3 linked regions of the Callithrix jacchus genome follow. The protein of the gene in region 3 binds, or shares a complex with, the protein of the main gene of each other region. Links are inferred from orthologs where the notes say so. Each region holds a gene or a part of one and is shown on either strand. Other genes may lie near its edges. The genes, in order: PIGO, PIGG and PIGF.

Region 1 (4,433 bases), on a different chromosome or scaffold from region 3:
GTGGCTCACACCTATAATCCCAACACTTTGGGAGGCCGAGTCTGGAGGATTGCTTGAGCCCAGGAGTTCAAGATAGAATTCATACATCATACAATTATTTCATTTAAAATATAAATGTAGTAACTTTTAGTATATTCACAGAATTGTGCAACCACCACAAGTTTACAACTGTTTCAGATCCCCCCTCCACAATATTCCATTGTATAAATACACCATTTTTTTGTTTATCAATTTGTCAGTAATGGATATTTGGGCTTCCACATTTTGGCTGTTAGGAATAAGGCTATTTTATTTATTTATTTATTTGAGACAGGGTCTTACTCTGTCACCCAGGCTGGAGTGCAATGGTGAGATCACAGCTCACTGCAGCCTTGACCTCCCCAGGCTCAGGTAGTCTTCTCACCTTAGCCTCCTGAGTAGCTAGTACTACAGGCACATGCCACCACACCGGGGTAAATTTTGTGCTGGGATTACAGGTGTGATCCATTTCACCCAGCCATGAATAAGGCTACTATTAACATTCATGTACAAGTTTTTGTTTGGACATAAATATTAATTCCTCTTGGGTTTATACCTAGGGCTGAAATTGCTGGGTCATTTGATAATTATGTTAATAGTTTTGAATTATCTGTTTTTACAGTCCCACCAGCGGCCTATGAGGATTCTAATTTCTCCTCCTCATTGCCAACACTTGTTGACTACAGCCATCCTCATGTGTTCGAAGCAGTATCTCCAGCATTTCCTGATGGCTTCTTTCCATGTGTCTATTGGCTATTTTTATATCTTCTTTGTCCATTAATTTGATTTAATTTGATAATTTGTTTTTTTCCCCTCTTTGACTCTGTTTTTTTTTTTGAGACAAGATCTTGCTTTGTCGCCCAGGCTGCAGTGCAGTGGTTCAATCTCGGGTCACTGCAGCCTCTGATTCCCAGGGTCAACTGATTCTCCTGCCTCAGCCTCCCAAGTAGCTGGAATCTCAGGCGCCCGCTATCACGCCCAGCTAATTTTTGTATTTTCAGTAGAGACGCGGTTTCGCCATGTTGGCCAGTCTGGTCTCCAACTCCTGACCTTAGGTGATCCACCCACCTCGGCCTCCCAAAGTGCTGGGATTACAGGTGTGAGCCACCACGCCTGGCCGGCCTCCCCTCCTCTATTCCGAAGGATTATTTGCTTAATTATTCAGTTGTAAGATTCAGTTAGAGGCTTTGAGAGGAGGATTATTGAAATCTCAGTTGGACTCAGCTAAGCAAAAAGGGGAAAATAAGTATTATTTATCTCTACTTTACAGATGAGGTAATGCCTAATAATGACAATATGTGCGGCCGAGCTAGGATTCAAGTTAAGTTTGACTCCAGCAGCCATGCTCTTAGTCGTAACCATGAACGGACAGTGGTTTCCTGAACTGTTCCTCCAGCTTGGTCCCTCATCCCCAGTTCTCAATTACTAAATCTCCCATCAGACTCTGGCCAGCCCCACGCTCCTGGCCAAACTTCCACTGAGGTGCCGGCAGATGGCGATGGAGCCACCGGCGGGCCGCTCTGTCTGACGCGCGCACCTCTGTGGTGCCAGGCCGCAGGCGCTGCCACCGTCGCACTTCCGGGTGCCGTTGCAGGTGAGCCAGGGTCTCCCGAGAACCTCACCCCCCGTATTCCCCTCACCCTGAAATAAGGGAGTCTACCCTTTCCCCTCAGCTCCCAACCAAGGGTGCTCAGTACCGCAGCTAGGGTGCCCAGCGGGAGGCTGGGTAGCTACCAGAGGAGGCAGAGCTGGTTGGACGCCTGGGTCCCAGCGAGGCCCAACCGGCTCTTGACCCGCGCCCCTGCCTCGCTGCGTGGCGAAGATCGTGCCTCAGTTCTCCAAGCGAACCTGGCTGCCCGGAAGCGGGGCGTGACTCCTCCCCTTCGTCCCCTCGGTCCCCGCTAGGCGGCGCCGTCGGCTGGGCCCGGTTTCCCCTGAGGCTTGGATCCCTTTCCACCCTTGTGGGTATTGAGATTGGCGAGGGGAGAGGCGCAGAAACGGCCTGTAAGGAGCCTGGCTACCAATTGAAATAAGTTTCCCTCGTGACTGTGTGTTTTCAGCATTAGGATTTCCTGACTGTATATGTGAACATTCCTATGCTCCACCCCTCAAAGATCCTGATTCAGTAGATCTGGGGTGGGAACTGGAAATAGGTTTTATTTTGTTTTGAGACGGCGTCTTGCTCTGTTGTCCTGGCTGGAATGCAGTGGCGCCATCTCGGCTCACTGCAACATCTGCATCTCGGGTTCAAGCAGTTCTCCTGCCTCAGCCTCCTGAGTAGCTGGGACTACAGGTGCACACCACCACACCCAGCTAATTTTCGTATTTTTAGTAAGGACAGGGCTTCACCACGTTGGCCAGGCTGGTCTTGAACTCCTGACCTCAGGTGATCCACCCACCTCGGCCTCCCAAAGTGCTGGGATTACAGCCTGGAAATAGCAGGAGAGGAATACTGTGATGGGTTGGCTATGGGACGGTTTATCTCCAGGAAGGTTTACAGGAGGAAGTGATTCTAGCTGGGCTTGTATTCAGGAACCAGAATATCCACTGGTTATTTGCCCCATGGTAACGAATTTCCTTCCCCACCCCTATTAGGATGCAGAAAGCCTCAGTGCTGCTCTTCCTGGCCTGGGTCTGCTTCCTCTTCTACACCGGCATTACCCTCTTCACCAGTGGCTTCCTGCTCACCCGTTTGGAGCTCACCAACCATAGCAGCTGCCAAGAGCCTCCAGGCCCTGGGTCCCTGCCACCGGGGAGCCAAGGGAAACCTGGGGCCTGCTGGATGGCTTCCCGATTTTCACGGGTTGTGTTGGTGCTAATAGATGCTCTGCGATTTGACTTCGCCCAGCCCCAGCACTCACATGCACCTGGAGAGCCTCCTGTCTCCCTACCCTTCCTGGGCAAATTAAGCTCCTTGAAGAGGATCCTGGAGATTCAGCCCCACCATGCCCGGCTCTACCGATCTCAGGTTGACCCGCCTACCACCACCATGCAGCGCCTCAAGGCCCTCACCACTGGCTCACTGCCTACCTTTATTGATGCTGGTAGTAACTTCGCCAGCCACGCCATAGTGGAAGACAATCTCATTAAGCAGCTCACCAGTGCAGGTCAGTGTGGGCCACTTTGAAGGCCAGAAGTACGTTGTCAAATTTCCTCAGACCTTTGGATGCCCAGATGCACACTTGACTATGGTGTAGGGAGACAGAGGAGAAGAAGGAGGCCAGAGCCCTGCCTTTAGGGACCTCAGTTTGGGGGACAGAGGAGAAGGGATCTGGGCTTTGTTCTTTTTTTTTTTTTTTTGAGACGGAGTTTCGCTCTTGTTACCCAGGCTGGAGTCCAATGGCACGATCTCGGCTCACCGCAACCTCCGCCTCCTGGGATCAGGCAATTCTCCTGCCTCAGCCTCCTGAGTAGCTGGGATTACAGGCATGCGCTACCATGCCCAGCTAATTTTTTGTACTTTTAGTAGAGACAGGGTTTCACTTGTTGACCAGGATGGTCTCGATCTATTGACCTCATGATCCACCCACCTTGTCCTCCCAAAGTGCTGGGATTACAGGCTTGAGCCACCGCGCCCGGCCTATTCTTAAGAAGTTTCTCATCTGAATGGAGTGCAAGTTTTACTCTTGGAGACCTCTCAGTAAAAGGGAGAAGGGAAGAGAAGAGAAAAGATGTGGATCTTGGCTTGCAAGTGTGGAGAAGAAAGCAGAGAGATCCAGGCCCTCTTTACTCACTGACTTGTAAAAGGCAGGATACACCCAGGTAAAACAAATCTGTAGAGACACCCAGAGACATAACTAGCAGAGCGTTTTGTAGGAAAGATAAGTATGAGGTCTGTGTGTAGTATGGTTATCAGGGAAAGCTTCCTGGTGGAAAATGTTAGGCCCTGAAGGATAAGGATTGCTGTATGCAATTGCTGTGCTTTACGTTGCATGGTTGGGACTTCTGATGGGTCTTTAAATGGCCTCTTTTCCTCTTTTCTCCTGACCCTGACTCTTGTTCAGGCTCTGACCTCTCTTTCATGTCACTGCAGGAAGGCGTGTAGTCTTTATGGGAGATGATACCTGGAAAGACCTTTTCCCTGGAGCTTTCTCCAAAGCTTTCTTCTTCCCATCCTTCAATGTCAGAGACCTTGACACAGTGGACAATGGCATCCTGGAACACCTCTACCCCACCAGTGAGCATGAGGCCAGAACATTAGTTCTAAGACTGGGAGCTGGGGAAAACTGCTTTAGTCCACAAATTCTGAGCCTCCCATGTGTGTAACAGCCTGGGCTTGTATTCCTGGACATAGAGGAGTGTCAAAGGCTGGCTGGGGTTGAGGAGTGGGTCTTAGTCCTCTGTGCTCAGTGTTCTCTCCTTCATAGTGGACAGTGGTGAATGGGACGTGCTGATTGCTCACTTCCTGGGTGTGG
Region 2 (3,649 bases), on a different chromosome or scaffold from region 3:
ATATATACATATTTTTTTAAATTAATTAATTTATTTTGAGAGGGAGTCTCACTCTGTCACCCAGGCTGGAGTACAATGGCACAGTCTCCGCTCACTGCAACCTATGCCTCCTGGTTCAAGCAATTATTCTGCCTCAGCCTCCCAAGCAGAAGGGATTACAGGCACCCACCATCATGCTCAGCTAATTTTTGTATTTTTGTAGAGATAGGTTTTCGCCATGTTGGTCAGGCTGGTCTTGAACTTCTGACCTCAGGTGATCCGCCTGCCTCAGCCTCCCAAAGTGCTGGGATTACAGGTGTCGGCCACTGTACCTGGCCGATTTTCTTCTTGTATTTTAACACATATCACATCAGGTCAAACACAGAATCCAGCTGCCTTCAATTAAGCCAGACATTAAGAGGTTTGCAAACATGTACAACAGTACCATTTTTCTCATTACACATTTGTTTTTTGTTTCTTTTTTTAAAGACAGAGTCTCACTCTGTTGTCTAGGATGGAGTGCACTGGTACAATCATGGCTCAGTCATGGCTCACCACAGCTGTGAACTTCTGGGCTGAAGCAATCCTCTTTTCTCAGCTACCTGAGTAGCTGGGACCACAGGGGTGTGCCATCAGGCCCAGCTAATTTTTGAAGTTTTTGGAGATCTGAGGGTCTCATTATGTTGCCCAGGCCAATCTCAATCACCTGGGCTGAAGTGATCCCCTGACTCTGGCCTCCCAAAGTGCTGGGTCTCACTGAATTTTTTTGTTTTGGAAAATACAGTTAAATTTCCTTAAAGTGTTACAAAATAATATGCAATAGATTCTTTATAAATGACTAATTTTTAAAATCTTAGTTTTTATCTCAAATGCCATAGACACTGATACGTGTAACCCTCATAAACCAAAGCTCCTTGGGGCCCTCAGTGGTTTGTAGGATCCCTAAGATAATCCTGGTGCCTCCTTCCAGAGCGCCTGGACTCTAACAAAGGCCAGGACGTTTTCATTCATTGACTTAAACACACCTATCTGGGTCATACTATAGCTTATTCAGAGGAAATTAAAAGTCCAAAAGCTTTTTGAGTGATTCCCAATAGGGGAAATATGACACAAACTGTGTATTAAAGTGACCTCTTATTAAACTATTTACTACTTAATCTAAATTCAGGTACAGTAGTCAAAGAAGTTACAGCTATTCATCAACTTGGTTGAATTCACATCTTCCATCTTAGAATAACAGCAGACTTTAAGCATGTATTATTTTTCCAGTGTTCAGCTTAGTCTAAGACTGTGTGAGTCTGGTTTGATCCATTGCTGTGAAGAATACACAGACAGCAGCTGTAATGAGCAGATGCATCCCCTCATAGAGAAGCTTTGGAGAAAATACACTCCATATGAATAAATGATAGCGCAGAGACGTCACCAAGACGATATATGTGGAAACTGGAATAGAGCAAATCATCGCGTAGCAGAAGCAAGCATGACTCAGTGCTGAGCTGCTGGTAATGAGAAAGAAAACATGTATTAGCACATGCCACTTACGGTTCACATGTATAACAAAACTTTCGCTTTCAAAAAGACTACAGTAGTTCCTGCCCTGGGACGAGAGGGCGCCGTGCTCCGTCTTCCACACTTACATCCAGTCACTATGGTGCTGGGACACGTGCCTCTCCAGATGCCCTGGAGACGAGAAAACCTGTGCTGTCCCCTTGGAGGCTGCATTCCAGTAAAGGAGGCAGGAGCAAACAGGTAACACGGCAGGAAGAGACAAACTCATCAAGAAAAATAAAGCAGACTAAACAGAAGGATGGGTGAGGGCCACCATGTCCTACACACACACGTGGAGCTCTCCAGAAATGCTTCTAAAACTTGACTGTAAGCAAAAACCACCTATGGTGTGTGCTAGAAGTGCCACTCTGGAGCCCCTCCCCACGGAAATCTGGATGTGGCTGGTCCTGGAGGTGGGCAAAGGTCTGTGTATCCATCCACCGCAGCGTCCAAGGGGACACGAGCTGCAGCCCCGACTGCTTGGCAGTGCCACTGTTGTCCGTAAAGCATCTCTGAAAAACGCACCCCTAGACTTTGCAGTTATTTTAAAATTATATATCTATGTGCTACTATATCACATGCATTATAAAATATAAACAACGAATAGAAAATCACAAAAGGGCAAGATACAAATAAACAAAAATACGAGCTCTGCTGTCCAGCGGGCGCCATGTCAGTCAGCCCAGGCTGGGCTAGGGAACCTGGCCCAGCAGCATCTGCTGAGCAAATCCACAGGGAAAGGCAGCATTCTCGGAACAGGAGCCTCCCCCTGAAGTATGTCAATGTACTGCCCTGCTTTTCAGTCCACAATACATCACGTAAATATCTTCCTCAAAGCGACTTCTCATGAGTCTGTGATGACTTCAAAATTATAAATTCCACTATTTGGGCCATTTCCATGCCCCATCCATGGCCTCTGATCAAGTCCTGTTAGAAAGGGCCCGTGGGGCGGCCCCCAGACCCTCAGAAGCCAGGCCTTCCAGGATCCTGGTCTAAGTTCTGCCTTTGATGCCTCCTCTCAAAGGCTGCAGTGAGTGTGGAGCGGATCTGCCTGCGGTCTCTCTGCATCCCACTTCGCTGCTGCCTGGTCTCCCTAAGCAAGGCTTCCACCGCTCACGGCGCAGGCCCTCCTGCAAGCATGCCGGTGTGCAGAGATGCTTACGGCGCGGCTATAGTCCAATGTGGGCGGGGCGTGAGGGCTTCCACCACGGTGGACAGTTCAGAGGCATTCATGCCGTGAGAGCCTCACACAGGAGGTAAGCAGCGAGGGGCTCCTCTTAGGGTGGGAAAAGCTCTAAGGCAGGGCAGCAGGTGTGTGTGCCTGGGTGTGTGGGCCCCACTGCGTGTCCTGTGAAAGGCTCCTCAGTCCTGTCAACCTGGCAGCTCCACCAGGTGCTACCTGAGGGCGTCCTGTAAACGGCTCCTGCTTCAGTGCTCACTACTCAGGAAAGGGCCAAGGACAGGGCTGTCCAGGTGCCCGGAACCTCATGCTCCCCCTGGTGAGCAGCTCGGGTTGCCCCCTCCATGGCCTCACCGCAGCCCCTCACCGGCTCCTCATCTCAGGCCTCAGTGGGCCACTCCTTCCCTCAGCCTGCCTCGTGTTCCAATCCAATACACAGGCCTAGGATCTCCCTGTGGGGGCCCCAGTGCCTGTTTCCTTTCACTGCTTTCCTTGCCAGACTGAGGCTCCTTAGGTGGGTCCCCTGAACCTATACCACTGGTCACCACTTGGTATCCAGCTCTACAGGCCGGGGACCCCACAGGGAGGGGGACCCCAAGGCGCCCTCGACACGCGCTGGTGACAGCAACACCCAGGAAGGCAAACATTCAGCAGGAAGCTTTGTGGCTAAACAGCCCATGGGTCCCAAGGCTGTGACTGCCCTCTCTTGGGAAGCAAAAACGGGCATCTGGGGTATGCCCCGTCCTACCCAGACAGCACATGGGAAGCTGTGGCTTTGACCCGGCACCACCTTGACTTCAGTCTAACAGACTTCTCAACGTTTCCCATCTAGAAGACGGCGGCTTGGGTCTGATCATAACAAGCCCACCAGCGGCTTGCTGTTCCCAAAACCTCAGCAAAGAGCCGCTTGTGCTGCAGGGAGCAGGCAGCCCGCGGTGCCAG
Region 3 (3,649 bases):
TCAACTAATGATTATGTGTCTTGGGGTTGCTCTTCTTGAGGAATATCTTTGTGGTGTTCTCTGTATTACCTGGAGTTGAGTATTGTCCTGCCTTGCTAGGTTGGGAAAGTTTTCCTGAATAATATCCTGAAGAGTATTTTCCAGCTTGAATTAATTCTCTTCGTCACATTCAGGTACACCTATCAAATGTAGATTAGGTCTCTTCACATAGTCCCACATTTCTTGGAGACTTTGCTCATTCCTTTTTAGCCTTTTCCCTCTAATCTTGTCTTCTCGTTTTATTTCATTAAGTTGGTCTTCGACCTCTAACATCCTTTCTTCTGCTTGATCAATTCGACTGTTAAAATTTGTGCATACTTCGCAAAGTTCTCATATTGTGTTTTCCAGCTCTATTAATTCACTTATATTCCTCTCTAAATTGTCTATTCTTGTTAGCATTTCATCAAACCTTTTCTCAAGGTTCTTAGTTTCTTTGCATTGGGTTAGAACATGTTCTTTTAGCTCACAGAAGTTTCTTATTATCCACCTTCTGAAGCCTGATTCTGACAATTCATCACACTCATTCTCCATCAGGCCTTGTTCCACTGCTCATGAGGAGCTGCAATCCCCTGTAGGAGGAGAGATATTCTGATTTCAGGTCTTTTCAGCCTTTTTGCACTGGTTTCTTCCCATCTTTGTGGATTTACCCACTTGTAGTCTTTGTAATTGCTGACTTTCAAATTGGGTCTCTGAGTGGATGTCCAGCTTGCTGGTGAAGAAGTTTTTTCTGTTTCTTAGTTTTCCTTTGGCGGACGCCCCTTCCCCACAGAGCTGGACCTTCCTGGGTTCAGCTGTGCTTGCTGTGAAACTCAATCTTCAGCGCTTCCAACTGTTGCTTTTTGTGGGGGTGGAACCAGCCGAGCTCAATCACCTGGCTCCCTGTCTCAGAGCCTCTTCTTTTTTTTTTTTTTTTTTTAAGTAGAACAATCGACTCTCTCCCAGGTGTTCCAGTTGCCCGCTGTAAAGCCGCCGGAATCTGTGTAATTTCCCCTGCAGCAACCCATTGCACCGGCTGAAACAGCAGCGTTGAGATTCGTGGCACTTTCCTGCCCAGGATCTCCCGGTCTGGCTCCCCACTTCAGTCCCTGTTTCAATCAGCTGAATGGGTGATTTCAATCAGCTGAATGGAGCCCCAAACACCAACTAAAGGGGCACCCAGTCCCATATACTCCGTACTGAGAACAGCCGCACCGGCCACAAGAGTTGCACTGGTGACCCGTGGGGTCCTCCGCTGGGAATCTCCTGGTCCGTGGGCAACAAAAATTCGTCTGGAAGTGTGGCATCCACTCACTCTCTGCGCTTTCACTGGGAGCTACAATCCTGAGCTGCTGCTGATTGGCCATCTTGGATCTCTCCGAAGTAGATTTCAATCTATTTCACTGTTTAAAAATTTCAAACTAAAAGTTTAAAAGAAATTAATTTTCATTTGGGAAATTATGGTAACAATGTAGAAAATGCTTTCAGTTGTTAAACTTTTGTTTTCTACAGACTTTATGAATATTAGAAGATCTTTCCAAGAGAGAACAAACAGTACTAATTCCTTTTTTTCCTTTTTGAGACAAAGTCTCACTATGTAGACCAGGCTGGAGTACAGTGGTGTGATCTCGGCTTACTGCAACCTCTGCCTCCCAGGTTCACAAGCAATTCTCTCACCTCTAAGTTCCTACAGCACTTATTGCTGAATTTACACAATTGTAATCTATATTATTTGTTCATTTCATTTTTATCCCTTGAATATATAAGCTCCTCAGCAAAAGAATCCTCCTTATACTTCAGAATCCACACAGCTTAGCATAACACAGAGCACAGAGTAAGTGCTGAAAACGTTTTTGCTGCTGGGTGATAAATAGGACAGAATCAAATAACCTTCTGGCTTTCTTAGCTAGAGCTTCACTGTTTCTCGTGCATATCATTTCAATGACTTTCAAGAAACTTAAGTTTTAACTTAACCATGCTGAAAACATATACAGACCTACCAAGGAAATGAAATCCCATAAAACTTGCTCTCTCTTACCATGAAAAAGGCTAAACAAGAAATTATCATTGTTACACATTTTTAGATTGTGGACCCCACTTCTACATTATAAAATGTAGGTAAGAAATTTTATTCGCAGCAATTTTATCACAGTGCCAAATTATCCCAGAACCACAGTTTTCAAAGCTTTCTTTTGGTAGCAGAAATTAAAAAAAATATATATTTTTAACAAAAAAACAAACAAAAGGCTAAGTGGAATTCTACTATACAGAAAAAAGCAGAGCCGATCTTGTTAACCTGGCGGGAGGGGCTCCTCGTTCTGCCTGCCCTGTCCCCAGTCCAACTGCAGTGACCCCTTAAGGTAACTCTGAGCACCATCAGCACTGAGAAACACTGAAAATAATCAGCAAACTGACAAATAAATAAATACTTCATTAATTTTTTTTAATTTCAAATATTATTATAATATAAAATTAAAACTTACCCATTTCTACTGAAAACTCTTAGCCATGCTTTGAGATTTGGTCCTAACAAACATAAGCAAGGTACGGTAGTAAAAGTAGACAAAATAACTGCAAATAAAAATGTTTCCAATGCCAACCTAGAAAAAAAAAAGATGTGTTAATTTTTTAAGTGTTAATGGTAAACATACACATACATAATCTTTATTATATAAATAAAATTTAAAATATCTTCTTATGCTTTACCTTTGAAATGTAACATGAGTGCCACCAAAATGATGACTATAAATAATTTTACTACCAACATGCAGCTTTAAAAAACTATTTAGCAAATGTTTGACCTTAATCATAGATTTCAGAAGTGTTAAAGACCCTAGGATCCATGCTGAGACTTCCATTGCAAAAACAAACAAAATCCATTTCTAGACAGTTGGCTTTCTCCTCAATAGTCTCTGGAACTTTCTCTACAACTAGTGGTTCTGTGTTAACATATATTGGAACCAGCTGGAGAGCTGGATAAACTAAAGATCAAGGGGCTCTACCCCTAGAATTTCTGACTGAAGGCTTGAGTATTTGCATTTTGATAAAATGCTGATGCTGCTGGCTTGCAAACCACATTTTGAGAATTACTGTGCCAGATACATTCATCCTACTTTAAAATGGATTAGACAGAAACCACCCTTTTCCATTACAAAGTTCTTGTTCTCTCCCATCTAAAACACAATGACCTGTTAGTTTAATGTGTATATGTAAAACTATGTATAAATATATATATAAAACTTAGCAACACATATATGTGTATATATGTATATATATCTCATCACTCATTTCACCATGATCATTAATCACTGCTAAACTGAAGCTTCTCAAACTATGATAAACATTATGTAAGAATCATTCATGAATTTGGTTTCTACTAATTTGAAATTAGTTCAGAAAAAGTGTTAAATTTTACCTTTAAACTATAAATACTGGCATATTAAGTATTTGAATACAGGAATCTATTGACTTTTGTTAAGAAAAACTCCATTCAAGTACTTCAGAATCACATGTATAAGAACTTGATATGCTAATTATAACTAATCTACACATATGATCATAATAAGTTCTCTCAGAGGTTCTAAGGGCCAAATATTATTGGTACAATATAGTTTCTCATCTACTCTCCCTTCTC

Evidence for each region.
Region 1: PIGF (region 3) and PIGO share a complex: the UniProt entries of both Homo sapiens proteins name them as parts of the ethanolamine phosphate transferase 3 complex. The link is inferred for Callithrix jacchus from reciprocal best matches to the Homo sapiens genes PIGF and PIGO.
Region 2: PIGF (region 3) and PIGG share a complex: the UniProt entries of both Homo sapiens proteins name them as parts of the ethanolamine phosphate transferase 2 complex. The link is inferred for Callithrix jacchus from reciprocal best matches to the Homo sapiens genes PIGF and PIGG.

Annotation. Positions count from the first base shown.
Region 1 is NC_133502.1:141,974,324-141,978,756, reverse strand, and holds the start of PIGO (GPI ethanolamine phosphate transferase 3, catalytic subunit), read left to right. Parts: upstream 1-1,564; 5' UTR 1,565-2,022; intron 2,023-2,613; 5' UTR 2,614-2,614; coding exon 2,615-3,125; intron 3,126-3,346; exon of another isoform or gene 3,347-3,780; intron 3,781-4,051; coding exon 4,052-4,195; intron 4,196-4,385; coding exon 4,386-4,433.
Region 2 is NC_133504.1:192,704,661-192,708,309, forward strand, and holds part of PIGG (GPI ethanolamine phosphate transferase 2, catalytic subunit), read right to left. Parts: intron 1,479-3,649; coding exon 1,262-1,478; 3' UTR 1-1,261.
Region 3 is NC_133515.1:68,138,320-68,141,968, reverse strand, and holds part of PIGF (GPI ethanolamine phosphate transferase, stabilizing subunit), read right to left. Parts: intron 2,616-3,649; coding exon 2,499-2,615; intron 1-2,498.